Linked DNA regions of Saccharomyces cerevisiae S288C. The protein of the gene in region 1 purifies or fractionates together with the protein of each later gene. This does not show direct contact. Each region holds a gene or a part of one and is shown in the gene's direction. Other genes may lie near its edges.

Evidence for each region.
Region 2: the proteins of EGT2 (region 1) and YBL036C purify together in Saccharomyces cerevisiae (affinity purification with mass spectrometry, with the first as the bait; one large-scale study listed by BioGRID). This does not show direct contact.
Region 3: the proteins of EGT2 (region 1) and ARA1 purify together in Saccharomyces cerevisiae (affinity purification with mass spectrometry, with the first as the bait; one large-scale study listed by BioGRID). This does not show direct contact.

What each region holds. Positions count from the first base shown.
Region 1 is NC_001146.8:16,407-27,694, forward strand, and holds EGT2 (Egt2p), read left to right. Parts: upstream 1-7,641; coding exon 7,642-10,767; downstream 10,768-11,288. Other genes in the region: AAD14 (putative aryl-alcohol dehydrogenase), read right to left, coding at 1-842; histone deacetylase RPD3, read right to left, coding at 1,595-2,896; PEX6 (AAA family ATPase peroxin 6), read right to left, coding at 3,135-6,227; MDJ2 (Mdj2p), read right to left, coding at 6,428-6,868; palmitoyltransferase PFA3, read right to left, coding at 10,931-11,288. UniProt on the Saccharomyces cerevisiae protein: Seems to be involved in the correct timing of cell separation after cytokinesis, as separation of mutant daughter cells is delayed.
Region 2 is NC_001134.8:145,824-155,688, reverse strand, and holds YBL036C (pyridoxal phosphate homeostasis protein), read left to right. Parts: upstream 1-4,468; coding exon 4,469-5,242; downstream 5,243-9,865. Other genes in the region: STU1 (Stu1p), read left to right, coding at 1-1,841; DNA-directed DNA polymerase alpha subunit POL12, read left to right, coding at 2,079-4,196; APL3 (Apl3p), read right to left, coding at 5,403-8,480; mitochondrial 54S ribosomal protein uL16m MRPL16, read right to left, coding at 8,804-9,502. UniProt on the Saccharomyces cerevisiae protein: Pyridoxal 5'-phosphate (PLP)-binding protein, which may be involved in intracellular homeostatic regulation of pyridoxal 5'-phosphate (PLP), the active form of vitamin B6.
Region 3 is NC_001134.8:535,343-545,568, forward strand, and holds ARA1 (D-arabinose 1-dehydrogenase (NAD(P)(+)) ARA1), read left to right. Parts: upstream 1-4,644; coding exon 4,645-5,679; downstream 5,680-10,226. Other genes in the region: mitochondrial 37S ribosomal protein uS9m MRPS9, read left to right, coding at 1-754; RTC2 (cationic amino acid transporter), read left to right, coding at 1,233-2,123; YSW1 (Ysw1p), read left to right, coding at 2,534-4,363; TBS1 (Tbs1p), read right to left, coding at 5,867-9,151; APD1 (Apd1p), read left to right, coding at 9,686-10,226. UniProt on the Saccharomyces cerevisiae protein: Catalyzes the oxidation of D-arabinose, L-xylose, L-fucose and L-galactose in the presence of NADP(+).

The sequences.
Region 1 (11,288 bases):
TTAGTCAATGCTTCGCTGATTTTAACCTCCAATTCTGTTTGTTCGGGGCCACCCACAAAAGTACGCAGACCCTCTCCATTCTTCTTCCGTTCTTCCATTGCTTTTTTACTCTGAAATCTTCCACCTCCCATGACATCCCATGGGGCTAGAGCCATACCAAAATGCCTAGCCATTGGAATAATATCACGCTCAAAGTCCCTGTTCAATACATTCCATTTACCTTGATAGACGCTAAAAGGAGTTTTACCATGAGATGTAGCGTAGTAATTTGCCGCAGAAACAACCCAAGCAGGTGTATCAGATACTCCTAAATATAGGACCTTGCCCTGCTGAACTAAAATATGCAAACTATCCATAACTTCTTCGATTGAACTCATATAATCCCACCAGTGAATGTAAAGTATATCAATCCAATCAGTTTGCAATTTGCGGAGAGAATCCCTCACACTCACATGTAAACTACGCTTGTGATTACCACAGTAGTTGGCACTTTTACCACCACCTACTTCATACTTCTTATAATCTCCGGTAAACTTGGTGGCAATTACAATCTGGTCACGCAGTTTTCTTGATGCCATCCATTCACCTATCCAAATCTCTGACTCTTCATTTTGGTAACTGTTTGCAGTATCAATACAATTACCTCCAGCTTCATAAAAAGCATCAAGAAGTTCAAAGGCCTGTTCCTTATTCATAGAGCCCATAAAGCCTGACCATGCGTCGCCGATTGAAGCTCCTCCCAGAATTAGCGGTGAAACCCTTATGCCGGCAGTTTTAGAAAGAACCCTGAGACGTCCCAATTCGGTAGGTGGTTCAGGTAGAGGTTTAAACAAGTCAGTCATGCTGAATAGTGGTTTTTTATGCAATAGACAATATGTTAAGTAAAATACAAAGCCGTTCAGCTAATTGGTTAGCTAGTTAATGAAGAGAAGAACAGCATGCATCCTTGACTTGGAAATATTGTCATACTTAAATATGGTTGGAAATTTTGCCCCCCGGTTTCCTTGAATACGAACAATGCAACTTATTTGAGTCTTCGTACGAGATCTGCTTACTGGTTTTGTACAGCGCTGAAAGCGAATTTGAAAATATATGCAATTAGAAGAGAGTGAATCAGATGAGGATAGGGTTAATACTGTAAAATTATTACCAAATATTGAATGACATATAAAAGTCGTAGTAACCGAATTTGTTTTTTATTATGAATAAAGACTTCTTGTTTTCGCATACTTCGATGATTTAAGAAATTAAAAGTCATTTACCCAGGCGTGATTATAAATTATATTGGCACCGCTTTATCAACAGCGGTGGGACGAGACGTTTAGATAGTAATTACAATAGAAATACAACTGTTTCAATATTAAAATATCTCTAGTATGTAAATAACACATATAGGCAATTTTCTTCGAAACGTATGGGACGCGGTTGATGTATGAACGGAACGCATCAATTAAAGGTTTGAGAAAAGTCTTTTGCAAAAAAATTGAGTTTGCACTTCTCATACACAATTGGATAGCGTCTTAAGTGCCTTTTATTCACTTTTCTTCTTTTGTTTCACATTATTTATATTCGTATATACTTCCAACTCTTTTTTTCAATAGAATTCATTGTCATGCTCAACATGTAGGTCCCTCGCATATTGCGAACCACCCTTCGTATCTTTAGCCTCGGCAGAATCTTCTTCAACATCACCCAAATCTTCGGCATCCCTAGGTGTGTGATTCAACTGAACACTAGGGGCATACTTTGTGTTTTCCAAATTAGCAAATATATTGGTCATTACCTTGTCAAGATATTCGGGAGTATTTACATTGAACATATTCGAAGGTCTAACACTTAACTTATAATCTGGACCGTAATATTCGTAATATTCATTGTACGGTAAATCTTTATCCAAGACAACGTTATTTAGTAGACCTGTTTCAAAGCACCATGTCCTTGCAACATTTCTCATAGTATAGCCTCCTCCACCAACAACCATCATTGGGATCCCAAAGGATTTCACATAGTTTACACAATTAGCATGGCCTTCCATGGAAAGATTAAAGCAACCAAGACGATCGCCGGACAAGGAGTCCCCACCACACTGTAACACGACAGCAGAAGGTTGATACCATTCCATAATTTTTTTTATCACAGGTTCAAACACAGATCTATACGTAGCATCGTCAATACCGTCTCTTAATGGCACATTGACCGCGTAGTTTTTTCCTGCACCCACCCCTATATCTCTCAGTTCACCTGTGCCAGGGAAAAACTCACCATATTTGTGGAAAGAACATGTCATGACACGATCCGTTGTATAAAACGCTTCCTCTACACCATCACCATGGTGCACATCAATATCAATATACAGAACTCTGGGGTGGTATCGTAGTAGCTCAATAATGCCCAGTACTATGTCATTTAAATAACAAAACCCAGAAGCTTCCGATTTTTTTGCATGATGCAAACCACCCGCATAGTTGACAGCAACATCACATTTGCCTCTATTCAGACGAGCAGCTCCTTCCATAGAGCCACCACCAGATATGCTACAGTACTCATAGAGCCCATCAAAGACAGGACAATCATCTCCGACATTAAACTTGACACTTTCTCTTTTAAACATTTCTAAATTATCTGGAGTAACCCTCGATAAAAAATCAATGTATTCATCAGTATGGAACTGACACATTTCTTGTTTCGTTGCCGGCTTAGCTCTGTAAATTTCCATCTTCTTGTACAAGCCATAATTCATAATAAGGGAATGTGCCATTCTTATTCTATGCGGCTTCATCGGGTGACCTGCTCCATATGCATAGTTCCCAACGTCTGCATCGTAAAAATATGCAACGCGTCTTTTATCGCTTGGCTTGACCGTGATCGGATCAAAAGGTGTTGCTTCATATACCATCTGCACGGATATCGAGTTGTAGCCACGAATGTTTTGTATGGCGCAATTGTTTTATGAACCTTTATGGTTATTACTTCAAATTTTTATTATGTATAATCAACTACTAGTATCTTTTCTGTTTTTCCCTTTCGATAGATACTATGAGCCGGGGAGGGTAAGTAAATAAAAAGATAAATTTCAAGGCAAAATATGGGACATATATTTACAAATTTACCTATACGCTCTGAGTTGATATTACTTAAGCACCTTCAAAATTAGCTCTCACCGCTTCATAATGATTCAGTTCAGCCCGCGACACACTTGGGGTGAGCTGCTCTTGTGCTTTCAAGAAGTCTTCCATTTTTACGACAACCTTAGTATCCTCTTTTGTCGCAATCTTATCAAACCAGCGACGTGTAGAAATATTCTCTCCCGTCAATTCGTTATGCTGAGAAACTTTTTTTTCTACCATGCGTGCAATTCTTGACATGGCGTTAAGCATTGCATCTGAGCAGAGAGCATAAAAATCTGCCCCGGTGTAATTAAATGGACATAGCTTTGCCAACTCAATAAGCTTTACGTCGTTGTCGAGCACGAATTTGCGAGTCAGAGCCTCTAAAATATTCAATTGTTTGGTATCCGTATCCGGAATGCCTAAATATAACAATTTATCGAATCGTCCTGGTCTTAGTAGTGCTTCGTCCAATAAGTCTGGTCTGTTTGTTGCTCCGATAACAAATACACCGTCAGCGTCGGTACTCATACCATCTAACTCTGCTAGTAACTGTGAAACGATACGATCCATAACACCACCCGAATCACCTTGATTACCACGTTTGGGTGCTACTGAATCGATTTCATCGAAAAATATGACACAAGGTTTAGCCTCTCTCGCCTTTTGAAACACTCTGCGCACATTAGCTTCACTCTCACCAATGTACATATTCAACAGTTCAGGGCCTTTAACACTAAAAAAATTTAAAGAAAAATTTGTTGCAATGGCCTTAGCCATTAGAGTTTTACCTGTACCCGGTGGACCATAAAAAAGAATACCGCTTCTCTTTTTCATACCTGAGGTAAATAATTCAGGATGTTTTAGCGGCATGTCTATTGTGTCCAATATTTCACCTTTAACAAAATCAATACCACCTATATCATCCCAAGTTACGTTAGGGATTTGTGGGGCACCAATCGAAACCGAGAATTCGTTCCTAGCTTTCGAAGTAGCTTTTGATAAATCCTCCTGAGTGATCAAAATTGATTGCGGAAGCCATCCACACTTCTTTGATTCTTGGTAAAAACGCGCAGTAGCCGTCATTCGTGCCGTTTCCACAATTGATTTGATGTCTAAAGGAGTTAAACCAGCAGAATATGAAGAGAGTGATGAAAATGAAATATTATCCATGTAAGATACTGGAACCTTTTGTTGAACATCTCTGTTTAGTTCATGTGAAGATAAGTACCACTGAAAGATACGCAGTCTCTGTGCTTCAGACGGAACGGGTACGAGAATCTCAAATCTCATATGTGATCTAAAGCTGGAAGGCACGTTATCTATGTTATTTACGGAGCCAACAAATGTAGTTCCTGGGAATTTAAACGTAAAATCGTCCAGAAGTTTAGACATTTCGAAGTTTATAGATTTTTGTAATTTGATTGCCTCTGGATCTTGATTAGCGTTTACGTCAAGCAAAATTGAATCCAAATGAGCCAAAAAAATCACAGCAGGTGATGCGTACGGTAGGACATTTTCACATTTAGCCCTAATGTAACCAATAATCTTAGATGTTGAATCCAGTTGTCTTGAATTTGAAGTGAGCGAAAGGCAATCTATCTCCAGTAGATGTATACCAAGATATTTTGAAGCAAATCTCACCATTGTAGCCTTGCCCACATTGTTTGTAGTGGAATGAAGTAACACAGAGGCATTTAGGGTGATTCCCCTTTGAGAACAATTGAAGGAAGTTTCTAATATGTTAACCAATTGTCTTACATAGGGGAAGATATGCAAATCATAGTAAAAAGTTTCAGCAAAACCGTAATATCTCTGAAGATTGGATCTACTCAAGGGTAATGGTCTTCTGTTAGTGATATTAGTTGTTATTAGCTTCGTCCGATTGGGATCAATAATAAAATGAGAATTATCTTTAGAGAAGCAATCGAGCTCTGCGCTTGTGACAAAGAACCATACAAGGGAATCGTTCTTGTAGTACTGCCCTAGCTCATCTTCGTCATCAGACTCATCATTTTCCTCTGCTATATTGAGATCAGCCATACTTGAATCAAAAGCGATTGGGATTAAATCATTTTGACAAAGAATCCTTTTGCTCTCGCTAAAAAACTTTTTCAAGGTTGTTAGAATAATATTTTGAAAGCATTTCTGAGATTGAAGCCAGCCTCCAACTCTTGAGATGAAAACTTGATTAGCAATGGGAATATCTGTATGGCCTATATTGGACTTTGATATTGTCACGACGCTGCAGTCTGGAAAGCTTGCTATTATTTTGGGAGGTGCGTATATTGTTCTTTTTTTAAAGCCGTTGGGGAGTAGTAAAACAAACAGCTTAACTAGCCTGACGCAACCCATATTTGACACTGTTATAAACGATCCACTTGTGACATCCAGGCGCAGTAGAGTTTCAGCGTCTGTAAAGGCATATATTGAATTATCATCATTGATGTGAGGTGCAGGTCGCAAAAGATCTCTTGAAATTGTGCAGGGGAGAGATTCAAGATCAATTGATAAAGCAGAATTTGTCCCTATTTTAGGTAATGCATATTCTTCATCTTCGTTAGCATATTTTAGAGCACTTAGTTTCTGCTCAGTATCATTTACTAATATCAATTGGGTTTCTGTAAAATCAACAAGGCCCTGCGGGAAAGGTGAGCAGTTTAAAATTTGGCAAAGACCAGATGTTAAAATATCTCGAGAATGAACCACGGTTTCCATGGAGTTGATGTTATATTTGTAATGCAAAAATTGTATTTGTTGCATCTCTTGCGGTAGGTCCATTAGTTTTGAGTACAATTGTTCATTAATCAGAAACGTTACGCTATCCAGTACAGGTACTACATTGTCTAATATGGGTTCAAAATAGCAAAAATCCATAGTGGGCTGTGTCGGCATAAACCCAAAAAGTTTGGAAGGTACAACAATGCTACAGAAGGGCAGTGAATCATCCAGGACACAATGTACAATTTTACCAGGCGTGCAACCTGGACCGTACTGAGGCAATCTAATTGTCCCATATAAACATTCAGCTTTTTTATCGCCGTATTCGAGATATATATCCCTAGAAATGCTACAGGGGGCGTATATTCCGGAGAGACTAAACGTAAGCGATGCCTTCATATTAATGTTACTATAATCGCTTTCTTTTGGAGGGTATGCAAACACATATATGCTCTCCACTACTGTTCTTTGTTCTAATTCTAATGACTTGTTTGAAAGTCTCCGATGGCCGCACTTTCCCGGAAGTGTTGACGATTATCGCCGTATACTATGTGGTGTAAGGAAGTGTAGCAATTGGCTACATGATATATAAAGTTCTTTTATCTCTTTCTTAGTAAAACACTTCTTTCGAGAACTTCTTTCGCCTCATTTATCTTGGCCGCCATGTAGGGACTCCCTCCTCTGTCTGGGTGGTTACGAACCATAGCCTTCCTGTGCTTTTTTTTCAGTAATTTTTCATCCAAGTGATTAATCTCTCTGGCGGAGATATCCAAGATGAGCAAGGCTTCGGGCTCTGTCATTCGCGGTGCAAAGCCTCCCTGGTACTGGTTTAATCTATTTTTCAGTTCTTCGTCTATCAGTGAGCTTTTGAACTTAAGTGCATCGCGGTAGCCCGCCGTCGGGTTTTCTATGCGAATGTTATTTAGTTTTGCAATAGTTAAAGGGGACAGGGTCTTGTAGACGGTCCATGCATTGAGACCAGACTTGACACTTAGAGCAACCATTGTCACGCCCAAACCAATTATTATAGGCAAAACCATGCTGGAATATCCTATTCTTTGTGGCTATACTGTGTATTGAGTGGATCCTAGCAACGAATTCGTTTGTTGTTATTTTTTTCTAGATTGTATCTCCGTTTCCGAAATTGTTATTCACAATGAGCGTTTACCTCTTGCAATAACAATAATCAGAGAATAAGCTACAAGACGAAAAATGACGTTGAGCGTGGCAGTAATGCCATAACGAAGATCAATAGTGTATGGGATGTTGGATATGTCGTTTCCCTGCCAAAGAAAAAGAAACACAAAAAAGAAAAAGCAAAAAAAAACAGTGCTAAGGATTTGATATTAAACGAAGTCCCACCATGGAGGATCATATCCCAATAAATTTATGCATAGAATGGTACCATTCACAACTAATATAGCCTCTGCTGGTTCCTTTAGTAACCTCTTTAGTAACCTCTTTAGTGAAATGGTTCTTGCTGGCTCTATTATTTTCCTAATTCGGACGCGCTGGCTCCGCGCCGTGAGGAAAAACAGCAGGCTGACAAGGGACTAATTTACTGACACTTTCGGCTGACACTTCCGAAAAGGTACTCAAGCTTTTATGAGTAAGATGCTGGTTTGATGCTAAGAATACGATTTAGTACTTCCTTTTTAATGTGGCTTGTTTTTTTTTTATTCGTCCATAACAGTACAAATATAAAAGCAGAATACATTCTTGCCGACCTAAAACTTGTGTCCTTAGACTCAAACTTTCTGATGGTTTTCTTTCAGTAGAATCAACATAAACAAGCATAATATAAAACACTACAATGAATAAACTATTGTTACATCTAGTACGAGTCATTTCGATACTCGGCCTAGCAAACGCTCTCACACAAACGCAACCGATTTTAAAAGATATTCAAATAACAGATAGTTATACCAAAACAAAAGAATGTACGGATCCAGATCATTGGTTCATAATAGAAGGGCAACTGTCTATTCCAAAGGGAAGTCAGCAAAATATAACATTCCAAGTACCAGATGCTTTCAGCTCATTCCCTCAAGAACCCTTCAGCATAAAACATAATTCTAACAGTGTTGCCACGATATCACGCCCAGATAAATCGACGAACAATTTCACCATTTCTATTCCAGAAAAGAGTTCAGAAGATATAACTACTACATTTAACTTCCTTGCACAGCTTACATCAGATGCTAAATCCAAAGTTACAGAACCAAAAAGCATCGTTTACAGTTTCTATTCAGAAAATACTATGTTTAATGACGTTATTGATTACGTCGCTAAAAATACTTCTGCTATAACAACAGATGGTGGTATATACAAAACTAATAATACCGCCTGGTTTACCGTTGACTTACCAATGAGAACGTTCAGAAATCCCGTTTATTTGACTTCTCAGACATCTTCCTCCTCAGATTACGTATTCGATACTTCGTTAACTAAGTTTGAGGTTGTCACTGCCGTTGATTCTTTTAACGAACCTATTAATGCTATCCCATATACAACTGTTCATGACTACTCCACAGAAGATGAAATTAGATGTTTATTTAATTCTACAATCAGCGGTGGGCTATACTTCCGTGTGACTTATTTCACAAAGAAGCTATCTACCTCGTCCATATCAAATACTGTCGAATTAACATATCCCGATGAAGGTACATCTGTCAGACTTTTAGGAAAGAGAGATACTTCAACCACCCTAGCCTCAGAATTATATTCTGAGTCAGCTGCTAACATTGATTCCACCACCAGTGATGACACAACTAGCTCTGATGCTGCTATAACACCAACATACTCAAATTCAACGCTTTCTTCTTATACTTCGCAATCATCCGCTATCCCTGAAGTTGCGGTTACTGCATCATTGAGTAGCGGGATCCTTTCTTCTACAGTTGACGGTGCTAGCACCTCGGCGGACGCTTCCATGTCCGCTGTCTCTACGGTTTCTTCTAGCAGTGAACAAGCTTCTTCTTCAAGTATTTCTTTATCGGCTCCAAGTTCTTCAAACTCAACCTTTACTACTCCTTCATCTTCTCTGTCTGCTACTGAAACATATAGTATTATCAGTTCAGCTAGTATATCTGTCACACAGGCTTCCTACATTGATAATTCTACAACTACCGCTGTTACCCAATCTACTTCTACTATAGCAGTTTCATCTGCTGAAAAATTGTCAAGCACTCTATCATACACCAGTAACGTCACAATATCAGTATCATCAGCTACCCAACATACTACTACTCCTTCATATGTTAGTAACTCCACTACACTCTCATCCTCATCTGTTCTTGAATCTGTAATTAGCTCTCCATACCTGGCAAACACTACTGTTTCAGGAGCTTCATCTGCAAGTCAATCTACTAATCCGCCATATGTCTCCAACTCCACAACATCATCCGCAACTCAATTAGCCACCATTGCTCCGTTCGCGATTAACATAACAGGAACAAGTATTTCTTCTAGTATCACTAATACTTCTTCAGTTAGTTCTACTACGTCCAGTTTATCATCCGGCCCATTTGTTTCAAACACAACGGTTGCCTCTGGGTCTTATATTCTAACCACTACTACAGAGTCTGCACAACTTACTGAAATAGGGAGTTTGATACCAATCTCGACTATTACTACTAGTACCACCACTTCTGGTACCGATAAAACTGGTAGTAATAAGGTGGCCTCTTCAACTGAAATAGCGCAATCTATCGTAAACAACAGTTCACTTTCGGTGTCAACAATCAACACTAACGCTGCGACAGCAGCTGCTAATGCCAGAAATGCTACTTTCACTCATGCAACCCATTCTGGTTCGCTTCAACCCTCATATCATAGCAGCTCACTATTATCGTCCACAATTGACACCAAGGTAACTACTGCTACTACAAGCACCAGTAGAGACGGTAGTTCGAGTTTGGCTTTCACCACTGGGCTCAATCAATCCGTAGTTACCGGTACAGATAAAAGTGATACCTATAGTGTAATTTCATCCACAGAATCAGCCCAGGTTACGGAGTACGACAGCTTACTTCCAATTTCCACCCTGAAGCCTACAGTCGTTACAGGTACAAGTAGAAACAGTACCTTTAGTATGGTGTCCTCCACCAAATTGACCGAAGCTACTGCAACGGATAAAGGTGATGCGTATAGTGTAATTTCATCTACACAGTCGGCTCAAGTTACTGAATATGGAAGTATGCTTCCAATTTCTACGCTGGAAACACCAACAGTCATTATGAGTACCGATGAAAGCGGCTATTTTACTTTAACTACATGTACTGAGTCTGGGCAAGCTACAGAATATGGTAGTCTGATTCCAATTTCCACACTAGATGGTTCAGTTATATATACATTTACTGGCGAAAGTGTAGTGGTGGGTTACAGTACCACAGTGGGTGCCGCCCAATATGCACAACATACAAGTTTAGTCCCAGTATCTACCATCAAGGGTTCCAAAACTTCTCTTTCAACCGAGGAAAGCGTAGTGGCTGGCTACAGTACTACAGTGGGTGCCGCCCAATATGCACAACATACAAGTTTAGTCCCGGTATCTACCATTAAGGGTTCCAAAACTTCTCTTTCAACCGAGGAAAGCGTAGTGGCTGGCTACAGTACCACAGTAGATTCTGCCCAATACGCCGAGCACACAAATTTAGTTGCCATAGATACATTGAAAACTAGCACATTCCAAAAAGCAACAGCAACTGAGGTTTGTGTCACATGTACCGCCCTTTCTTCCCCTCATTCTGCAACTTTAGATGCAGGTACTACTATTTCATTGCCAACAAGTTCCAGCACATCTCTATCTACAATAATTACCTGGTATTCCTCATCTACTATTAAGCCTCCTTCAATTTCTACATACTCGGGCGCCGCTGGTCAATTAACCATCCGTATTGGCAGTTTGTTGCTAGGGTTAATCTCATTTCTGCTGTAAGAACTATTTTATCAAATAGAAAGTTATAAATAAAAACTAAGAGTTCTTTTGGTATAATGCATAAATAATTTTTTTATATAATGTTTGTAATTGTAATGATAAATTTTTATCATCTTGGATAATTTTCGTATTATCGTAACATTCATTCGTTCTAGTTTTATGACTAATTTGCATCGATAATTTCTACAGACGCCCTATCGGCTTCTAATGAGGGTCTTGGTGTTACTCTTCTCAGTAATTGATCTTCTAAACATCTACTACTTAGCAGTCGGTCTTGTACTTGAGGTCTTACATTAAAATATAAACCTTTTTCATCCTTTGTGTGTTTAGACTTTTTGTACTTGAAGGTCTCAATAGGAAGTATCCACTCTAACCAAGATGTACCCATTATATCTTGCCAGTTGGCCATTGAAGAACCCAAGTCAAATATATTCTCTAAATGCTCATTTGTTCCATAGCTGTCATTGAGGATTTCAAGATCCCTTCGATACCTTCTCATTCCGTGTACCTCGATAGTAGTT
Region 2 (9,865 bases), on another chromosome or scaffold:
ATTTCAAGTTACTTTTAGAGATTTTCCGTAACTTGAACATAAAACATGATAACACTCTGAGGTCAGGAACGAACGATCTCATGCCTAAAATATCAATGATACTCTTTCAAATCTACGGTAAAGAGTTTGACTACACATGTTATTTCAATCTAATTTTTGAAATTTATAAATTCGATAATAATCGTTTTAATAAATTGCTAGCTGATTTTGACATTGTATCTACCAAGATGAAAATCTGTCATGAACTTGAAAAGAAGGATGCCAACTTTAAGGTAGAAGACATCATTTCTAGAGAAAGTTCTGTAAGCTTCACTCCCATCGACAATAAAAAATCTGAAGGGGATGAGGAATCCGACGATGCTGTAGACGAAAATGATGTTAAGAAATGCATGGAAATGACAATGATTAATCCCTTCAAAAACTTGGAAACTGATAAAACACTAGAGTTGAAGAATAACGTTGGAAAAAGAACATCAAGCACAGACAGCGTAGTTATTCATGATGATAATGACAAAGATAAAAAGCTTTCAGAAATGACGAAAATAGTAAGTGTTTATCAACTGGACCAGCCAAACCCAGCAAAGGAGGAAGATGATATAGATATGGAAAATTCTCAAAAATCTGATTTGAATTTAAGTGAAATTTTTCAAAACAGTGGTGAAAATACCGAAAGGAAATTGAAGGACGATAATGAACCAACAGTAAAATTCAGTACAGATCCTCCAAAGATAATAAATGAGCCAGAAAAACTTATTGGAAATGGGAATGAGAATGAAAAGCCTGATTTGGAAACAATGTCACCAATCAAAATAAACGGGGACGAGAATATGGGTCAAAAGCAAAGGATCACAGTAAAGAGAGAAAGAGACGTAGCACTAACTGAACAAGACATAAACTCCAAAAAGATGAAACTAGTTAATAACAAAAAATCAGAGAAGATGCATTTGCTTATCATGGATAATTTCCCAAGGGATTCCTTGACTGTATATGAAATTAGTCATCTTTTAATGGTTGATTCTAATGGCAACACTTTGATGGATTTTGATGTCTATTTCAATCACATGTCAAAGGCAATAAACAGGATAAAAAGTGGATCGTTCACTATGAAACATATAAATTACCTGATCGAACCCTTGATTACTTGTTTTCAAAATCAAAAAATGACCGATTGGTTGACGAATGAAAATGGTTTTGATGAACTACTGGATGTTGCTATTATGCTTTTGAAATCTACTGATGACACGCCTTCAATTCCATCAAAAATATCCAGTAAGTCCATAATTCTCGTTCATTGTCTTTTGGTTTGGAAAAAGTTTCTAAATACACTAAGCGAGAATGCCGACGATGATGGCGTTTCGGTGAGAATGTGTTTCGAAGAAGTATGGGAACAGATCCTTTTAATGCTTAATAAATTTTCTGATTATGGAAACGAAATCTATAAATTAGCGCAAGAGTTCAGGGACAGTCTAATGTTATCGCACTTTTTCAAAAAACATTCGGCAACAAGAATTCTAAGCATGTTGGTTACTGAAATTCAGCCTGACACCGCTGGTGTGAAAGAAACATTTTTAATTGAGACCTTATGGAAGATGCTGCAATCTCCTACCATTTGCCAACAATTCAAGAAATCTAATATATCAGAGATTATCCAAACAATGAGCTATTTCATTATGGGGACTGATAATACTTCGTGGAACTTCACCAGTGCCGTGGTATTAGCTCGTTGTTTGAGAGTCCTCCAAACTACTCCAGATTATACTGAGCAAGAAACCGAACGATTATTCGATTGTTTGCCTAAGAATGTCTTTAAAATGATCATGTTCATCGCCTCAAACGAATAGAGAATAGCGTGGTAGACGCGTAATTTTTTTTTACCGTGACGCGTCTCACCAGAGTTTCTTAGTTCTTTCTCTTTTCTAAAACTGTAATAATATGAGCTCTTTGTAGACACATATAACATTTTGTTTCATATACATAATATATTTGCATATAAAAATATCAAGATAATTGATTGTCAATTGGTTCAACAAAGCTTGAAGGTAAATTTAGGCAGGAGCAAGTGACTGAAAAAAAAAAAAATGAGCGGATCTATCGATGTCATCACTCATTTTGGGCCTGATGCAGACAAGCCGGAAATCATCACTGCATTAGAGAATTTAACTAAACTGCATGCATTGTCCGTCGAGGATCTATACATTAAATGGGAGCAGTTCTCCAATCAAAGGCGTCAAACTCACACAGATCTGACTTCCAAGAACATAGATGAGTTTAAACAATTTTTACAATTACAAATGGAAAAGCGTGCTAACCAAATTTCATCGTCCTCTAAGGTAAACACATCCACAAAAAAACCAGTGATTAAAAAAAGTTTGAATTCAAGTCCCTTGTTTGGCCTTAGTATTCCAAAGACTCCGACTTTAAAAAAAAGAAAGTTACATGGTCCCTTTTCACTCAGTGATTCCAAGCAAACATATAATGTAGGCTCTGAGGCAGAAACAAATGAAAAAGGAAATAGTTCTTTAAAATTGGAGTTTACTCCAGGCATGGCAGAAGATGCTGTGGGTGACAGTGCTCCATTGTCCCACGCTAAAAGCTCGGATGCCAAGACTCCCGGCTCGTCGACATTCCAAACTCCAACAACAAACACTCCTACCACATCGAGGCAAAATGTTCCTGCTGGTGAAATTTTGGATTCTTTGAACCCTGAAAATATTGAAATATCATCTGGTAATCCAAATGTAGGCCTTCTTTCGACTGAAGAACCATCATATAACCAGGTCAAAGTAGAACCATTTTATGATGCTAAAAAGTATAAATTCAGAACAATGAGGCAAAACTTACAGGAAGCGTCTGATGTCCTCGATGATCAAATTGAATCGTTTACTAAGATTATTCAAAATCACTATAAGTTATCTCCAAACGACTTCGCTGATCCAACTATTCAATCTCAGTCCGAAATTTATGCTGTTGGAAGGATAGTTCCAGATTCGCCGACCTACGACAAGTTTTTGAATCCAGAATCGCTTTCCCTAGAGACCTCAAGAATGGGCGGCGTTGGAAGAAGGGTAAGGTTAGATCTATCGCAGGTCAACGAGCTTTCGTTTTTCTTAGGCCAAATTGTGGCATTCAAAGGTAAAAATGCTAATGGGGATTACTTCACCGTTAACTCTATTTTGCCGCTACCTTATCCAAACTCCCCAGTGTCCACATCGCAGGAACTGCAGGAGTTTCAAGCAAATTTGGAAGGTTCTTCTTTGAAGGTTATCGTGACCTGTGGCCCATACTTTGCAAATGATAACTTCTCCCTCGAATTGTTGCAAGAATTTATCGATAGTATAAATAATGAGGTAAAACCTCACGTCTTGATAATGTTTGGCCCATTTATAGATATCACCCATCCTCTGATAGCGAGTGGTAAATTGCCAAATTTTCCCCAGTTCAAGACACAGCCCAAAACATTGGACGAGCTTTTTTTGAAGTTATTTACTCCTATTCTAAAAACCATATCACCACATATCCAAACCGTATTGATACCCTCCACAAAAGATGCAATTTCTAATCACGCCGCATATCCACAAGCTTCTTTAATTAGAAAGGCTTTACAGCTGCCTAAAAGGAACTTCAAATGCATGGCTAATCCTTCATCTTTTCAAATAAATGAGATATACTTCGGTTGCTCAAACGTTGATACATTCAAAGATCTAAAGGAAGTCATAAAAGGCGGTACTACCTCATCAAGATATAGATTAGATCGTGTTTCTGAGCATATTTTACAACAGCGCAGGTATTACCCCATATTTCCAGGTAGTATTCGTACAAGAATAAAACCAAAAGACGTATCTACGAAGAAGGAAACCAATGATATGGAAAGCAAAGAAGAAAAAGTTTATGAACATATATCTGGTGCAGATTTAGACGTGAGTTATCTGGGACTAACAGAGTTTGTTGGTGGGTTCTCGCCTGACATAATGATTATACCCAGTGAATTACAACACTTTGCAAGAGTTGTCCAAAACGTAGTTGTTATAAATCCCGGAAGATTTATTAGAGCAACAGGTAACAGGGGATCCTATGCACAAATTACTGTCCAATGCCCTGATCTTGAAGACGGGAAATTGACGCTTGTTGAAGGTGAAGAGCCAGTTTATCTACACAACGTGTGGAAGCGCGCTAGAGTTGACTTGATTGCTAGTTGATATATTTAATTCAAACTTAACTAATGGAATAGCTCAAGGTAGCACCAAAAAGTATTGTTATACACCTGAACTATCGACCTTGAAACTGGCTCTATAACTTACTTATTGATTAAAGACCATAACATGATCAGTATCCGGGTAATAAAGTAACGTGATCAGAGGCCAGAGAAAATGTTCATAAGTAGAGACTACTCTTAAATGCATAATAAAAAAAAAAACTGATAGGCATCACTCTTTCCTTTTTGACTAAGATTCCAGCATCACATTGCAATATGTCCACTGGTATTACTTATGATGAAGATAGAAAGACACAATTAATTGCCCAATACGAATCTGTAAGGGAAGTTGTGAATGCAGAGGCAAAAAATGTTCATGTTAATGAAAATGCCTCCAAAATTTTATTATTGGTTGTTTCGAAATTGAAACCAGCTAGCGATATACAAATTCTTTACGACCATGGTGTGAGGGAGTTCGGGGAAAACTATGTTCAAGAGTTGATCGAAAAGGCAAAATTACTACCAGACGATATCAAGTGGCACTTTATTGGCGGTTTGCAAACGAATAAATGTAAAGATTTGGCTAAAGTGCCAAATTTATACTCTGTTGAAACAATCGACTCCTTGAAGAAAGCCAAAAAATTAAACGAATCGAGGGCTAAATTTCAACCAGATTGCAACCCAATATTGTGTAATGTTCAAATTAATACCTCCCATGAGGATCAAAAATCGGGCTTGAATAATGAAGCAGAAATATTTGAAGTCATCGACTTCTTCTTATCCGAAGAATGCAAGTATATTAAGTTGAATGGGTTAATGACTATTGGTTCATGGAACGTCTCTCATGAAGATAGCAAAGAAAACAGAGACTTTGCTACGCTGGTTGAGTGGAAGAAGAAGATTGATGCTAAATTTGGTACATCATTGAAATTGTCTATGGGGATGAGTGCTGATTTCAGGGAGGCTATAAGGCAAGGAACAGCGGAAGTCAGAATTGGTACCGACATTTTTGGTGCTAGACCTCCAAAAAATGAAGCTAGAATCATTTAGTAGGTTGAATGAACTGAGATTTTATACGAAGATCTTTTTTTTTATAGCATTACAACACAAAATGAAAATAAATAGAATCTCAAATATATATATATATGTGTGTGTGTGTTTATATATGTACAATGCGGATGATTTTCATTATAGTGAATTTGAGAAAATTTTACTTCGTAAGCACATTCTTTATACATTCGACAATGTACTTCGCCAGGGGACCGGCCGTCGTTGTTTTACAGGTAACATTAACTGTTCCATTTACCTGGTATTGTATCTTCATTAAACAACCGAAGTTTCCCTCACTTTTCGTATGAATAATACCCGAGACAAACAATGTACTACGAACACTGGTCTGATCGACTATATCAAAGCCCAACCTCTTCACTGTTTGCGTCAATAGTAGAAGTCCGTCTTCTAAACTGATTGTTTCAACTTTTCTAAAATCCTTGTTGAGCTTTATGCCAGATTTTTGGTATTCTCCCTCTTTTCCCAAAGCATCGCTCAAAGTCTTCCAACGGCTGATGAACTGTGCCAAATTCAAATGCATGCTAGGATTGACATCGCTGCTAATTAGTGTTGTAGTCATGCCTATGGCAGTTTTCAAATTGATAGTGTTTGTACTACCGCCACATTTGAAATGAATTGCCAAAATTGGACTATCTTCAACGTCGAAAGGTTTTCTTATTGAAACTTCATAGCTTTGCTCTGCCCTTTTATGGGGCCCAATAGTAGCAGTAGAAGGTGTATTAATATTCATAATTAAATACTCAGGATTACCTTGCGTTTTTGAAGGGATAATCTGTGTGGATAATCCCGTGATTTCCCACTCAGTCAGGTTAATGAAGGCAAGAGATATATGAAACACGTATGGCTGTTGTGCATCAGGAGTGGTTATCCGATAGAAAACTTTCATCAAAGATGATGTGAAAAGCACACCCTGCTTATGCGAAATCATTCTTGTGAAACCTTCCCTCCAATTTGGAGCGAGGATCTGCCTTGAATAATAAGAGTCCTTTCCTGAAAAGTCTTCAGATGAACTAATTTTGGAATTTACATCATCAATGGTGTTCCTACGAGATGGTGGGGGCATGGGAACCATGATCGACCTGGAAGAGTTTGCTCTTTTTGATAGTAAGTCAGGCGTGGAGGAGGATGCTTCGGATGGTGTATTTATTAAAGTTGTGCTACCCGCTGATGCCGGCAGTGACCCTAATCTCTTCAATAATGGATTAGATTTGCTGTTAAAAGGCGGCATTGGTTCAAATAAAATTTGCAAAATATCTGTATTTCCGTTCACCTTAGCCAGTTGAATAATGTTGAGATATTCGAAGGATCTTGTTTGCAACTCAATATCAAGAGAGTTCAATTCCAATTGGAAAAATTTGATGACGTTGGAGCCGATCTCAGGTGAGGTCTTGTACAACTTGATCATCGTAGTCAATATCATCGCCTTAGCCACATTTGGTGCACTAAAATATTTCTCGGCAAACAAAGTAAATAAATTTGCGCTTGAAATCCTGTCTGTTATGAGACTTGAGTACTCCCCTAGTAGAAAAGCCGCAGCTTTAATAATAGCTTCAGATGCTTGCTTTTTACATAAATAGTCCACCAACCGTTCACATGTTATTCTATGTAAAGATGGATTGTTCACTACAATTTGACATAGTCGTTGCCAGATCTCATCATCGTTAATAGTTGTATTTGAAGTTAATGATAGCAACTGCAACGAAATAATTACAAACCAATTGATATCCGTGGCATATTTCTCGGTCAAAATAGCTATTTTAACTGCAATATCAGATTTTATTTGCGGTTCAGCAAGATTTTTCGGAGATAAAATATACTGCAGTAAACCGTCCACAATAATCTTAACGTTTTCAACATCAGTAAAGGTATATAACAAGTCAACAACCTTCCTAACAATAGATGAATCTCTTTCTGTGTTCAAAAGATGAAAAATCATATCCAAATTCTTGTAACGAACGGCATCAATTGCAGGTTTCCCGCTTGATGAGCATAATTTGACCAATGAATCTAGCGTTAAATACCGAATATTAATTTCCTTAGATGTTAGCAGGGAACATAAGGCTGTCACAGAATTGCTGATAGCTTCATCCGACGGATCTAGCTTAGAGGCGAAATTGATCAATGAAAACAATACTGTGTTTTGGACGATACGTTCCATGGGATCTTGAGCTTGTCTGGTTCCTAATTCGATGGCAACGGAAACACACTTTCGAAGTTTATTTAGTAATTCATTATCTATGTTGTTGGTTTGTAGTAATGAGCCAGAATCCCTCTCAGTTGGTGAGGCAATCAATATGCTCAACAAAGAGACAACTTTTGTGATAAGCCAAGGATTTGGCATATTCGCGAACGTATATTCTAACGGAAACTGATTGTCACTAGATCTTGAAGTACCAACAACAACACAATTGTACAAAATTTCTGTTAGCTGTGGTAATAGTCTCGTACAGTAACTGGGATCAATGTATTTTGCAATGAATTCTATTAACGGAATCGTAGCTAAAGTTAACCTATAGTTTTCCGTATCATCCAATAAGCTTAATATCCTTTGTATCCATAGTTGCTTACGTTGTAAATCTTCGGTCAGTATAGAATGATTACTTTTCAATAGTGCTAGAAATGACAATGCTGATTTTTTCTTGAGATAAATGGAGGAGGTCGGTGATCTTAATATCTTGAATACTCCTGTTGTGATATCATCGTTGTACGCTAGACGGTTCGTAAGTTCTCCTACTACACCAACAAAATTCAGCGCCAACATTACGAAATTATCATCGGAAGAAGAGAGATCTTTCATCAGTTGATAATTCACCTCATCGTTAACTTTGGCAACAACTTCACTACGTTCATAAAGCAACTCAAGGGTCATATATCCAATGAATTTTTCAGAAAATATGCTGGACTTCAACAGCTCTACCGTTTGCTCCAACCCGAATAAAATTTCATTTAGTTTTGTCGTATTAGAAGTAATATATATATAGGCTAGCTTGGCAACGTACTTCTTTCTTTGATAGCCACCTAATCTGTCGTGATTGCCTTGTTTTTTCTTTGCAGCATCGAAATGCTGTTTAATTTTGACAATTTCAGATTGTATTCTCTTTTCCTGCTCTTGTGCTTGTTGTGCAGAACGAAGATCTGCAATGAATAACTGTAGGCCCTTGATGGTACTGTTATTATTAGAAACACTTGAGTTTATAAGTGTTTTTTTGCGATCCATGGCTTATAAGATTAGTACTATAATAAAGGTTGCGAAATTGGAAACTCGATTGACTAGCAAATTCCAACTGTAACGTTCCTAGTGCTTCTTTGACCCTCAAATATTTCTCAGTGTTTATACCTCAGCTGGATCAAACAAGTGTTTTTTCACGTCGTCATGTGTTTCTTCAGCGCTCACTCCGGGGAAAAACTCCTATTCTTCCGCAGAGAGTATACAGTGCATACTAGAATTAATAAACTCATAGCCATGGCTAGATTACTTGATTGTGAATATCGATATTTTTCAATAGTTATATACATGTATACATGGTGTGTTCAATCCGTTCAACGTCCTCTGAAGAGTTTGTACTGTGGTTCTTGAGACTTTAAAATATTCAAATACTTCTTTGATGGCTTCTTTGCATTTTCATCGTAAAAATTCTTCACTGGGTCGTCTTTAGGATTTTTGAAACTATGTAATCCAACTCTAACCAGAGAATCCAAGGATACAAATTCATATACCCCAGGTAACTTGGTGCCTGCTTTTCTGAAGGCTTCCCGTGCGACTTTTTCATGCAAATCATCACCATTTATTTCGAAAAGGATCTTCCCTGTGGGTACCCTCACCATCCAGTGGTCAAACCCACCTTTACCTTTACCCATTCTTGTTTCGTTACCCTTGATACATACAGCAACGTTTGTACACAAACGCCTCCACAAATGACCATTGTTTAAAGGCCTGACATATCTCATAATTGCGTTATCTGCTTCCTTCAGCTGTTGCGCGGATATCCTAATACCTTCGCTTTTCAGTCGTAATCCGTACTTACCAAATTGCAAAGTGGATCCCTTTATTGAACCACCTGTACGAACTGGCACTCTACCTTTTTGCTTTTTCTGTACGATTTTGAAACGTGGGGCATATTCATGCTTGAATCTCCTAGCAATAGTGGTGTTATTTAAAAAAGCATTGGGGGAACTTTCTTTTAAAGTTAGCCCTCCCATCTTTATGGATAAATTCATTCTTGTTAAATAGGGGAACATGTTGCAAAATTCTATTCCTCTGTACCTCTGGTGAAAGGTAATCAACTTCCCGGCAATATGTACGCTCTACAAGTGGACTGTTAATTGGTAATAATTTCTTCCAAAGAAGTCTTCTTGTTATTTGAGCACCAATATGATATTATTATTTCCACCAGCATTCTTTCGTAATTAGTGATTCAACTGGATACAAAGCCTAGGGTTCTGTTCTTTGACCCTAAGTTTTAGAGTTAGGTTTCTCGTTATTGGTGATAACAAATTTTTTTTTTTTTTTTTTTTTTTTTTTTTTTCAAAATTTTTCACAGCTCATCTCATCGAGAGGAAAAGCATAGAATAAAATTTAGTTAAATGTTAAGTATTTTACAG
Region 3 (10,226 bases), on another chromosome or scaffold:
AACCGAGGATGAATTGCCCAGAAGGATCGTCCCAAAGCTAGCCACATTTTATTCGGCGAATCCTAACCATGAAGATCGTATTAATCGACTCGAAAGACTTCTAAGGAAATACATAAAACTGCCATCTCAGAACAACAATGAAGCACAACAAACAAAAGCTCCTTGGATTTCTTTCGATGAGTACGCTTTAATCGGCGGTGGTACGAAATTAAAGCCTACGCAATATACTCAGCTACTGTATATGTTGAATAAACTTCACAACATTGATCCTCAACTTACTAATGATGAAATCACATCCGAACTATCCCAATATTATAAAAAAAGTTCAATGCTTTCCAATAATATCAAAATCAAAACTTTAGATGAGTTTGGAAGAAGTATAGCCGTTGGAAAAAGGAAAAGTTCCACTGCGAAAGTATTCGTTGTTAGAGGTACAGGTGAGATATTAGTTAATGGTCGACAATTGAATGATTACTTCCTTAAGATGAAAGACAGAGAATCAATCATGTATCCACTTCAAGTGATCGAATCAGTTGGAAAGTACAATATTTTTGCGACAACGTCTGGAGGCGGACCTACGGGTCAGGCTGAATCAATCATGCACGCCATTGCGAAAGCTTTGGTTGTGTTCAATCCATTATTAAAATCCAGACTACATAAAGCTGGCGTCTTAACAAGAGATTACAGGCACGTCGAAAGAAAGAAGCCAGGAAAAAAGAAGGCAAGAAAGATGCCAACATGGGTCAAGAGATAGTCTTAGTGCATCTTGTTACCTCAATTTCGAACGGAAGCGTGCGTGCTCTGAGTTTTTTGACACATGCCAGAAGAAACGTTATATATTTTGCATACAACGCCGCCCAGCATTAGAAGCACAACTCTCGTTCGTTATTCCTGTAAATAAAGTTATATGTATTCGAATATTGCTCAGTTAGTATTTTCTTCTACTTACTGCACATAATACTTCATCTTTTTTTTCCTCTCACCCGCAAAGCAAAGGGGCCTTGCAGCAATGACTCAAATTCCATTGGAAAAAAGAAGGAGATGATAAGATGCAAATCAGAATAGATTTTACTATGACCGTTACATGTAAAAAGAGTCATAATATAAACCATAAATACTACAAATAACACCGGGTTCAGGCATATAAATAAACTATTCTCCTGTAATATCCCACAATATTTTGTTATAACCCAGACGTAATAGCCTCAAGCGAGCATCCCTAAATTTCTGCCATGAAGCTGATCCCAATTATTTTGAATGCTAAGAATCTCAGTGGGATGGCTGGATCCATATCAATATGCTGTTGGATTGTTGTGTTTGTACCACAGATTTATGAAAACTTCCGAAGACAGTCTGCGGAGGGATTATCACTGCTTTTCATTGTGTTGTGGCTATTAGGTGATATATTTAACGTCATGGGAGCTATGATGCAAAATTTACTCCCAACCATGATAATTTTAGCTGCTTACTATACATTGGCAGATTTAATTTTGTTAATACAGTGCATGTGGTATGACAAGGAGAAGAAGAGCATTTTACAAGAAGTCAAGAAAAATGTTGATCCTGTGCATTTGCCTCCAGCAAACCCCATAAATGAGACTGTCTTACAAGACGTTTTTAATGAATATGAGCCACTTTTGCCAAGGATAGAAGAAGAAGATAGCCAATCGTATAGCTCGCTTGAGCTTGGCAGAACAATAGTCGTAAAGGAAAGAGAGAATTTTTTCAATGACTTCTTAATTGTTTCAGGTGTACTTATTGCCGGAATTTTGTCATGGTATATATCTTACTGTTCCGGCCTAGATAACGGTATTCCTAAAAAAAAACCTGCGTTCGAACAGATTAATTTACCTGCACAAATTTTAGGGTATTTAAGTGCGATACTGTACTTGGGCTCTAGGATCCCTCAGATTGTTCTTAACTTCAAAAGAAAATCATGCGAAGGAGTCTCATTCCTATTCTTTTTATTTGCATGCTTAGGGAACACTTCTTTCATAATCTCAGTGCTCTCAGCATCTTGGCTTATCGGTAGCGCTGGTACGCTGTTGATGGACTTCACAGTTTTTATTCAATTTTTCCTTTACGCCAAACCTAAATACGAGAAAATACTAATAGATAATTAACTAGTTGGCTTCTATTAATCTTTCCACTTAAAACTCAAACTTACTCATATGCGCATCGGCTATAGCCCAGAACTAGTATTTTCATTTTATGGAGGAAACAAAATTACTAGCGCCATCACGGCTCAGTCGTTATTTTGGCGATGCCCTTTGCTGACACGCGTCTGAAAAAATACACAAAAAATAACACAAAAACGAGTAATGCCATTTCCTGGGTGGGGTCTCTATCCATAGAGGAAAAAAAGTGACAGGAAGGGGACAAATTCAACTATTCACTGTAGTCATCTAATAATTTTTTTAACTTAATCACACCAACAAAAACAAAAAAAAGCTAAAACTAGGTTGAAGGATTTTAAGAGAAGTTATTGCACCGGTGTATTAACATATATAAGGATACGTACGAACATAACATCATGTCCAGCTTAGCCGATACAGTAGAGGGTAGCGAGGCCAAACGCGGCAGATTTTCCAACAATGCATTAACCTCCGATACTGGTATTTTACAGAAAAATAGTACATTAAGAAACTGGTTTTTAAAACCGACAGCAGACCTAAAAAATAGTTGCGAAGATAGAGTTGAAGATGACGTCAATGATGTCTACTTAAATGACAAAAACTCACAAAAATCTGTTGAAGAAAGAAAACTAGGAAGAAAAGTTAGATCTTTTTTCAAACAAACAAACTCAAATAAGGACGAGTCTGTGTTGGAAGATGAAGATGATGCGTTAGTTTGGAAGAAAACTAGCAATAAGTGTGCAAAAAAGGAAAATTCCCATGACATCCAAAAAGGAAGTTTCACAAAAAAAATCAGAAACAGTATTTTCAAGAGTGCAAATGACGTGAAAGAATTCAGGAATGAAAATAACTTACTATTGCCCGTTGAACTTTCTTCTGATGATGAGAATGAGTCTCATTTCACTGATGCTAACTCACATGTTATGCAATCAAAAAGTCCCGAGAAAATACCTTCCAAGGATCAATGCTTGACTAAAGGCGCTAAGAATAAAGGTCTGAAAAAGGAATATGAAAAAAGTTTTGAAGAGTATAGCGACGACAGTGACGATGAATTTTCTCCTGCTACTCCACCGGAGAATGTTCTTGAAGGTCCTTACAAATTTGTGTTTCAGACACCAAACACATTTACATCTCAGCCTAATATAACAGTAGAAAATGATTTTCACAAAGGTGGGAGACATGTGATTGACTATCTGAACAAAAAATTGGCTACTATGAACATTGATATTGATTTGACTTCAGGGGGGAAACAAAACGTATCTTGGGAGGAAGAGCTCGACCAATTGAGCGACCACGTTATAGAAAGTATTACTAACCACATTTCAAAGGGTAGAATGCACGCACAAGAGAAGCAAGATGAGTTGGAAAAGTTAAAATTGGAGAATTTGAACTTGTCAACATTAAAGCAAGAAAATCTCCAACATAAGCAGGAAATTAACTCATTGAAAGACAACCTTGAATCCATTAGTAAAAAAAACAATGATCTTATATTGGAAATGAACAAATTGAAAAAAAAAAGTACGAATAATAAAACAAATGAGTACATATCTACGGATGAAAACGAAAATGAGGAGATTACCAAATCCAATATGGGTCCTGGCATTTTAGAACTGAACGTCAACGAAACTTCAAAAAAATTACAGCAATCCACATTCAAACCCTCGAAATATCTTCCAAGAGAAACGAGAAACAATGAAAATAGATTAAAACACTTGGAAAAGAGAATATTTGGCTTAGAAAAATCTCTTGAAAAAAAAAAAAAACAGGTAAGGGCTGACAGCGTTAGATTAGACTTGAATAGATATACTATCGACCAGTTTTTGACATTACTGAAAAGCCTCAGCGAGGTTTTGCAATTCCACAATGTTTATGGCAATGATTTGAAGGAAAACGACGATAATATTATAAAGATTGAAACCTGCTGTAGTGCGCTAAACATGAAAAATTGTTTCGAAGACTCCTCATTTCGTTTACAAGAAAACAGCTTCAAGAGGCAATTGGGCCCTCTGTTCGCAAACATCAACTTCTCCTTAATCGACCAACTGACAATGAACTTCAGGTTCTACGAGAGATCTGCCAATTTCCAGAAGGAAACAATAGGTGGGTTAAGAATGATGCTACAAGATAAGGATAACTATATCAAAACACTGATGCAACATTTGAAGAAAAAAGAGAGTACAAAGTTGATAAAAGACAGCAAGAATGGCGCCTCCACCTTAACATCTTAACAATTTCGTTTACTGAAAATGCTACTAGTATATAATCATTAAGTATCTAACTATCACTCAATAAAAATATTATAGATCGCTTAAAAACTCGTTTATTGCCGATTATAAATCCACCAAAAGCCGCTCTACCCTTACCTCCGCCTGGAAAAATTATAATATATAAAGTGAGCCTCGTAATACAGGGGTAAAAAGGAAAGAGGGGGATATCAAGCATCTGGACTTATTTGCACTATCTCCGCCTTCAATTGATAAAAGCGTCTTGATTTTAATCAACTGCTATCATGTCTTCTTCAGTAGCCTCAACCGAAAACATAGTCGAAAATATGTTGCATCCAAAGACTACAGAAATATACTTTTCACTCAACAATGGTGTTCGTATCCCAGCACTGGGTTTGGGGACAGCAAATCCTCACGAAAAGTTAGCTGAAACAAAACAAGCCGTAAAAGCTGCAATCAAAGCTGGATACAGGCACATTGATACTGCTTGGGCCTACGAGACAGAGCCATTCGTAGGTGAAGCCATCAAGGAGTTATTAGAAGATGGATCTATCAAAAGGGAGGATCTTTTCATAACCACAAAAGTGTGGCCGGTTCTATGGGACGAAGTGGACAGATCATTGAATGAATCTTTGAAAGCTTTAGGCTTGGAATACGTCGACTTGCTCTTGCAACATTGGCCGCTATGTTTTGAAAAGATTAAGGACCCTAAGGGGATCAGCGGACTGGTGAAGACTCCGGTTGATGATTCTGGAAAAACAATGTATGCTGCCGACGGTGACTATTTAGAAACTTACAAGCAATTGGAAAAAATTTACCTTGATCCTAACGATCATCGTGTGAGAGCCATTGGTGTCTCAAATTTTTCCATTGAGTATTTGGAACGTCTCATTAAGGAATGCAGAGTTAAGCCAACGGTGAACCAAGTGGAAACTCACCCTCACTTACCACAAATGGAACTAAGAAAGTTCTGCTTTATGCACGACATTCTGTTAACAGCATACTCACCATTAGGTTCCCATGGCGCACCAAACTTGAAAATCCCACTAGTGAAAAAGCTTGCCGAAAAGTACAATGTCACAGGAAATGACTTGCTAATTTCTTACCATATTAGACAAGGCACTATCGTAATTCCGAGATCCTTGAATCCAGTTAGGATTTCCTCGAGTATTGAATTCGCATCTTTGACAAAGGATGAATTACAAGAGTTGAACGACTTCGGTGAAAAATACCCAGTGAGATTCATCGATGAGCCATTTGCAGCCATCCTTCCAGAGTTTACTGGTAACGGACCAAACTTGGACAATTTAAAGTATTAAGACAACGACTTTATTTTCACTTTATTTAGTTCGCTTCTTAATCTTGTCAAAAACAAGATATTGTGTAATCGCCTCAAGTAAACAATATGTTTTTCATACGTGATTTGAAGTTTTTAAGTATCTGAAATACATACGCGCGCGTATGCATATGTATTAGTTAAATTACTCGAATGTCCTTTATATAATATTACATTTTTACACACACATTCTTGAAGAAGAAATCCCGATCGTAAAAAAAAACACCGTGCTCCAAATGGCCTTCAATCTTTTCGAATAATTTATTCGATTGTTCATTCTCATCTCTATAATCATTCGCCGTACGTTCAGGATATGACGCATCAAGCAGCGAAGCTAAACCTGTTGGAAATAAAGATCTGTCATAGTCATCGTCTTCTTCATCATCATCAGCACCATTATTACTATAATCATCATCATTGTCATCATCATCATCATCATCATCATCATCATCATCATCATCATCATCATCATCATCATCATCATTAATATTGTTGTCATTGTCATTATTGTTACTGTTACTGTAGTTATTGTTATTATTATTAATAGTACTACTACTATTATTGCCATTTTTATTATTATTATTATTATTATTATTATTATCGTCAGTATCATCAGCGCCAGTAGTCTCGTTATTATCAGTATTGGTACCATTACTATGATGATATTCCTCGCCTGGCTCAAGAGTTTTATTTTCCCACAATTTCGGAATGCTTGAAAATTGCAAGAAGTTCAAATCCTGGATTGTTATTTCATTGAAAATATTGAAGGACACTTCCATTTTTTCTTGGTCCTCTGTAACGAAACTACCAAATGCAGCCATCTTCTCTTTATTTATGAACGAAGTTTTCAAGAGCTCGACCATATCATCTTTTGATTCTCTCGTATGCTTAACTAACCTATTGAGAACACCCTCATAATAATTTGAATCAAAGGCATAGAATTTTGCGTATTTACTTGTCAGATTGAACTTTTCCATCGTACTCCGTAGAAAAAAAGTGTAAAAAAAAAGAGATGTTTGCCACTTCAGATTGTGTACTGAAAGACAGCGTTCTTCAGATCCAAGCATACGGGTATGTGTATCCCTCAATAATCCAATTATATAACCAGTCTCCATGGCATGTTCGTCATTAACCATAATCTCTGACAAATACAGAAACATGGAAAAAACCGTTGTGAGAGAAAAATACAGAAACTCATTCTGAACAGTAGGGTAGTATTCAAAATCTTTCAAAATATTAAGTACTTCGATGCAATTTCGCTTGAAATCCAATCTTGACCTTCTAATAATTTCAGCTATATCATGCCGGGAACTTTCCCGTTGATCTAAGTTATCTCCAATGATGGATATGACAAATAAACTCAGGGTTATCTTTTGATGGTACCATCTGAGGTGTAATAGAATAGTAGTACAACAACTCACTTCAAAATCTAACTTCGAAGAATCCAAAGATAAAATCCTCATGTTTTCCTTGTAATTTTCTAATGATAATATGGTGGGCAAATCGTCTCGCATTCTATCTAACGCCTTTTGATTTTCCAGTACATTTTCAATGATTTCATCTAGTGTATCGTCTAAAGTTGTTCTGATGGAAAAACATGAGTAATATATTTGAGACTCTATGAGGGATAATCTCGACAAAAAATATGATTGAATGTATGGTACATATTCAAGGTGATTCGCGAGTAAGTTTACAACGGATACAATATCTTTCACCCCTTCTAGTTTTGAATCATCGTATTTTATAGAAAGATTGGGCAGAATTTTATCTCTGAATAGTTCAACATAGCTTTCATCTGTTAATACATCAGTGTTTTCCTCCTTGAGAAAGGGCGGTCTTGACAACACCACAGAAAAGAATTTGTCTGTTGAAAAACAATAACACCACAAGCGTCTTCTTTTAATGATTTCATCAAGTTCTAGATCCTCATAGGTGGAATGTAAATTGAGCCGTAAATCCAAAGCCACTTTGATAGCAACGGATAGTACTTTGACCGCTGATGAAGCACTTATTTTTTGTTGGGCAAACTTTGCCAGTAACAGTAATGCCTTTAATGCCGTCATATCTGCGCGTGCTACAGACAGTTTATGGTAGTAATAGACAGAATTGAGAAAAGTGAAAGATCTGAGTCTCCATAATTCGAACTTCTCAAAATAATAGGTTTCATGATTATCTTCATCAACTAGCTCCTGCTTCTCCTCAAAATTTGTAACGGTGGCCCCAAGGCAGAGGCAGATATTTAGCAAAAATGCCTGTGATGATGTCAATCTTCCTTTAGCAGGATCAAAGTGCACGTCGGCAAATTGCAAACATTGATCTACATCCACTATGTGGAGAAGAGAGGCTAATGATGGACATTTTATATTTTTGAGCAAACGCTTTGCAATTGCTAAACGGGGCAGAGGATACAAAATATTATCACTAGATGGTGATGATGCGGATCGGAAAGAGAAGTCCAGGACCAGCTTGGTCTGTAAAATAGAATATTTGAAAGTAGTAGTAAACATTTCATTAATGGGCGAAAGAAATTCTTCGTCAGTTAAATGTGATAAAACATTTTGTCGAAAATGAAACATTTTTTGTTTTGTTAACAAGGCCTTTGAATATTGCTTTCTTTTAGGCCTTTTCATGTATTCTTTATCAATGACGTCAATTTTGCTTTTTTCAGCTAGCTTCTCTATTGTTCCCTTCATGTTTTTACAAATCTCTTCCAAAACAAAAACTTTCCCAGCAACCTTCGTATGGTTGAGTTCAATTTTTTCAAGCACTGTCCTGTCAATAGGAACAAAGTCAGGCCAAGTATCTTCTTTATCGCTTGCACTTTTGCCGGCAGAAACTCCAATATATTCTTGTGATAAGTTGGTGTGTAATTTCGGCGAGCTGTCTGTAGAAGAAGTATTTCTTGATCGCACGGCGATATCAAAATTTTCATCCTTGAACTTATTCTCCTTATCCAACCTCGGCTTCTTAACCGACTTCCCATTTCCCTTGTTATTCAAAGCTTCTTCTCGCCTTCTTTTCAGTTCTTCATGGAAATGAAACGTGCAATCTTTATTATACTTGATACAGTTTCTACATTTACCAGAAATCGGCTCGATTTCCGTACATCTAATCTTCCTCTTCCGACAATAATCACATGCTTTAGTCACTCTACTTTTGAAAGACTCCATGTTATATGCCAGAAAATTCTTATCAGCAGGCATCATATGAGCTAATGGGTGATGTCTTAAACGGTGATCCGGAAAAGGGCTCAACTGAGGCGACATTATTGTACCAGTTGGAACAGGCGGAAAATTTGATGGTACTGGAGGCATCGCAGGGACAGCGGGGCCCATTAAAACTCTTGTATTTTCGACTCTTTGATTATGTTTCTGGTTAGCTGCCCACTCAGAACTTTGCTTTTGTGTCTTATCCATGCTTCCATGACTACTTGTAATACCAGAATCCATATTCATTCACACAACTCCTGCTGGGCTTGTAATCATTGTTAACTTAAAAAAGAGTAGTCGTAATATAAAGTTTACTCTATTTTAAGTAGACTTTGGGCAGTGGCTGAAAATAGGCATGATAAATCAACATTTTCTGGCGGAGTAGGGTCAAAATGAAAATGTGGACCCTTTAGGGTATTATAAATATTTTTTAAAGGGCAATTTGAACTTTTTAGGTGCAAAGAAAATTCTGAAGGTATAAAAAAGAGGGTTCACCGGTGCTGCGGAAATAAAAGCGGAAATAAAGATGGAAATAAGGGCTAAAAGTTTCTTAAAACAAGTGCAAGGAGAGGGAGAGTTCCACTCTTGGCGCTGATGATATCTTCTATTTATATTGTTGAGATCATATGATGATAACGCAAAGTTGAAATTCTAACCGAATAGTAGTATAACATACTGGTTTTCTTTCTGTTCGAGGTATAAGAAAAGAAAGTACTTGGCTATATTCGGAGGAGGCAAGAAGGCGGCCAAGAGAGAGATATCTTCTTTGTCCTTTGAATTATGGCTTTTTTGAATATTTTCAAGCAAAAACGTGGTGATGAAGCTTCACAACTGAGCGCAAAGGGACGGGAGGAAATTTCTCAATCGATTAAGATATGCAAAAGTGACGATGCTGCTAACGAACATAGCTGCTCTGGTGATTGCAAAACAGAAATTGAAGAAGGAGAGCAGGCCTTTGCGAAACTAAAGATCGAACATGAAACTCCTTTGTTGAACTCTTCTAAAACGCCAAAAATTCACTTCGTTGTCCCCACCTCTCAAATCGATTGGCAGCATGATGCCTGCCTCGAGGACCCAAAGTCAGTACAGTATAAAATTTCCCAGTGGTGTGATAAGAATTCAGCTAAATTTTCCAACGTGGGCACAGGCAAGACACTAAACTGTGCAGTTTCATCTTTACCTAAAGATATCATGGATATTGATGTTATGCGGGGAACCAAGAATAATGTACTTATTTTGCCTTACTTCATTTGGCTGAACGACCTTAGATCAGATGACGTCGAAGCAACGCTGGATGGTTTAGTTCCTGACTTATTAGACG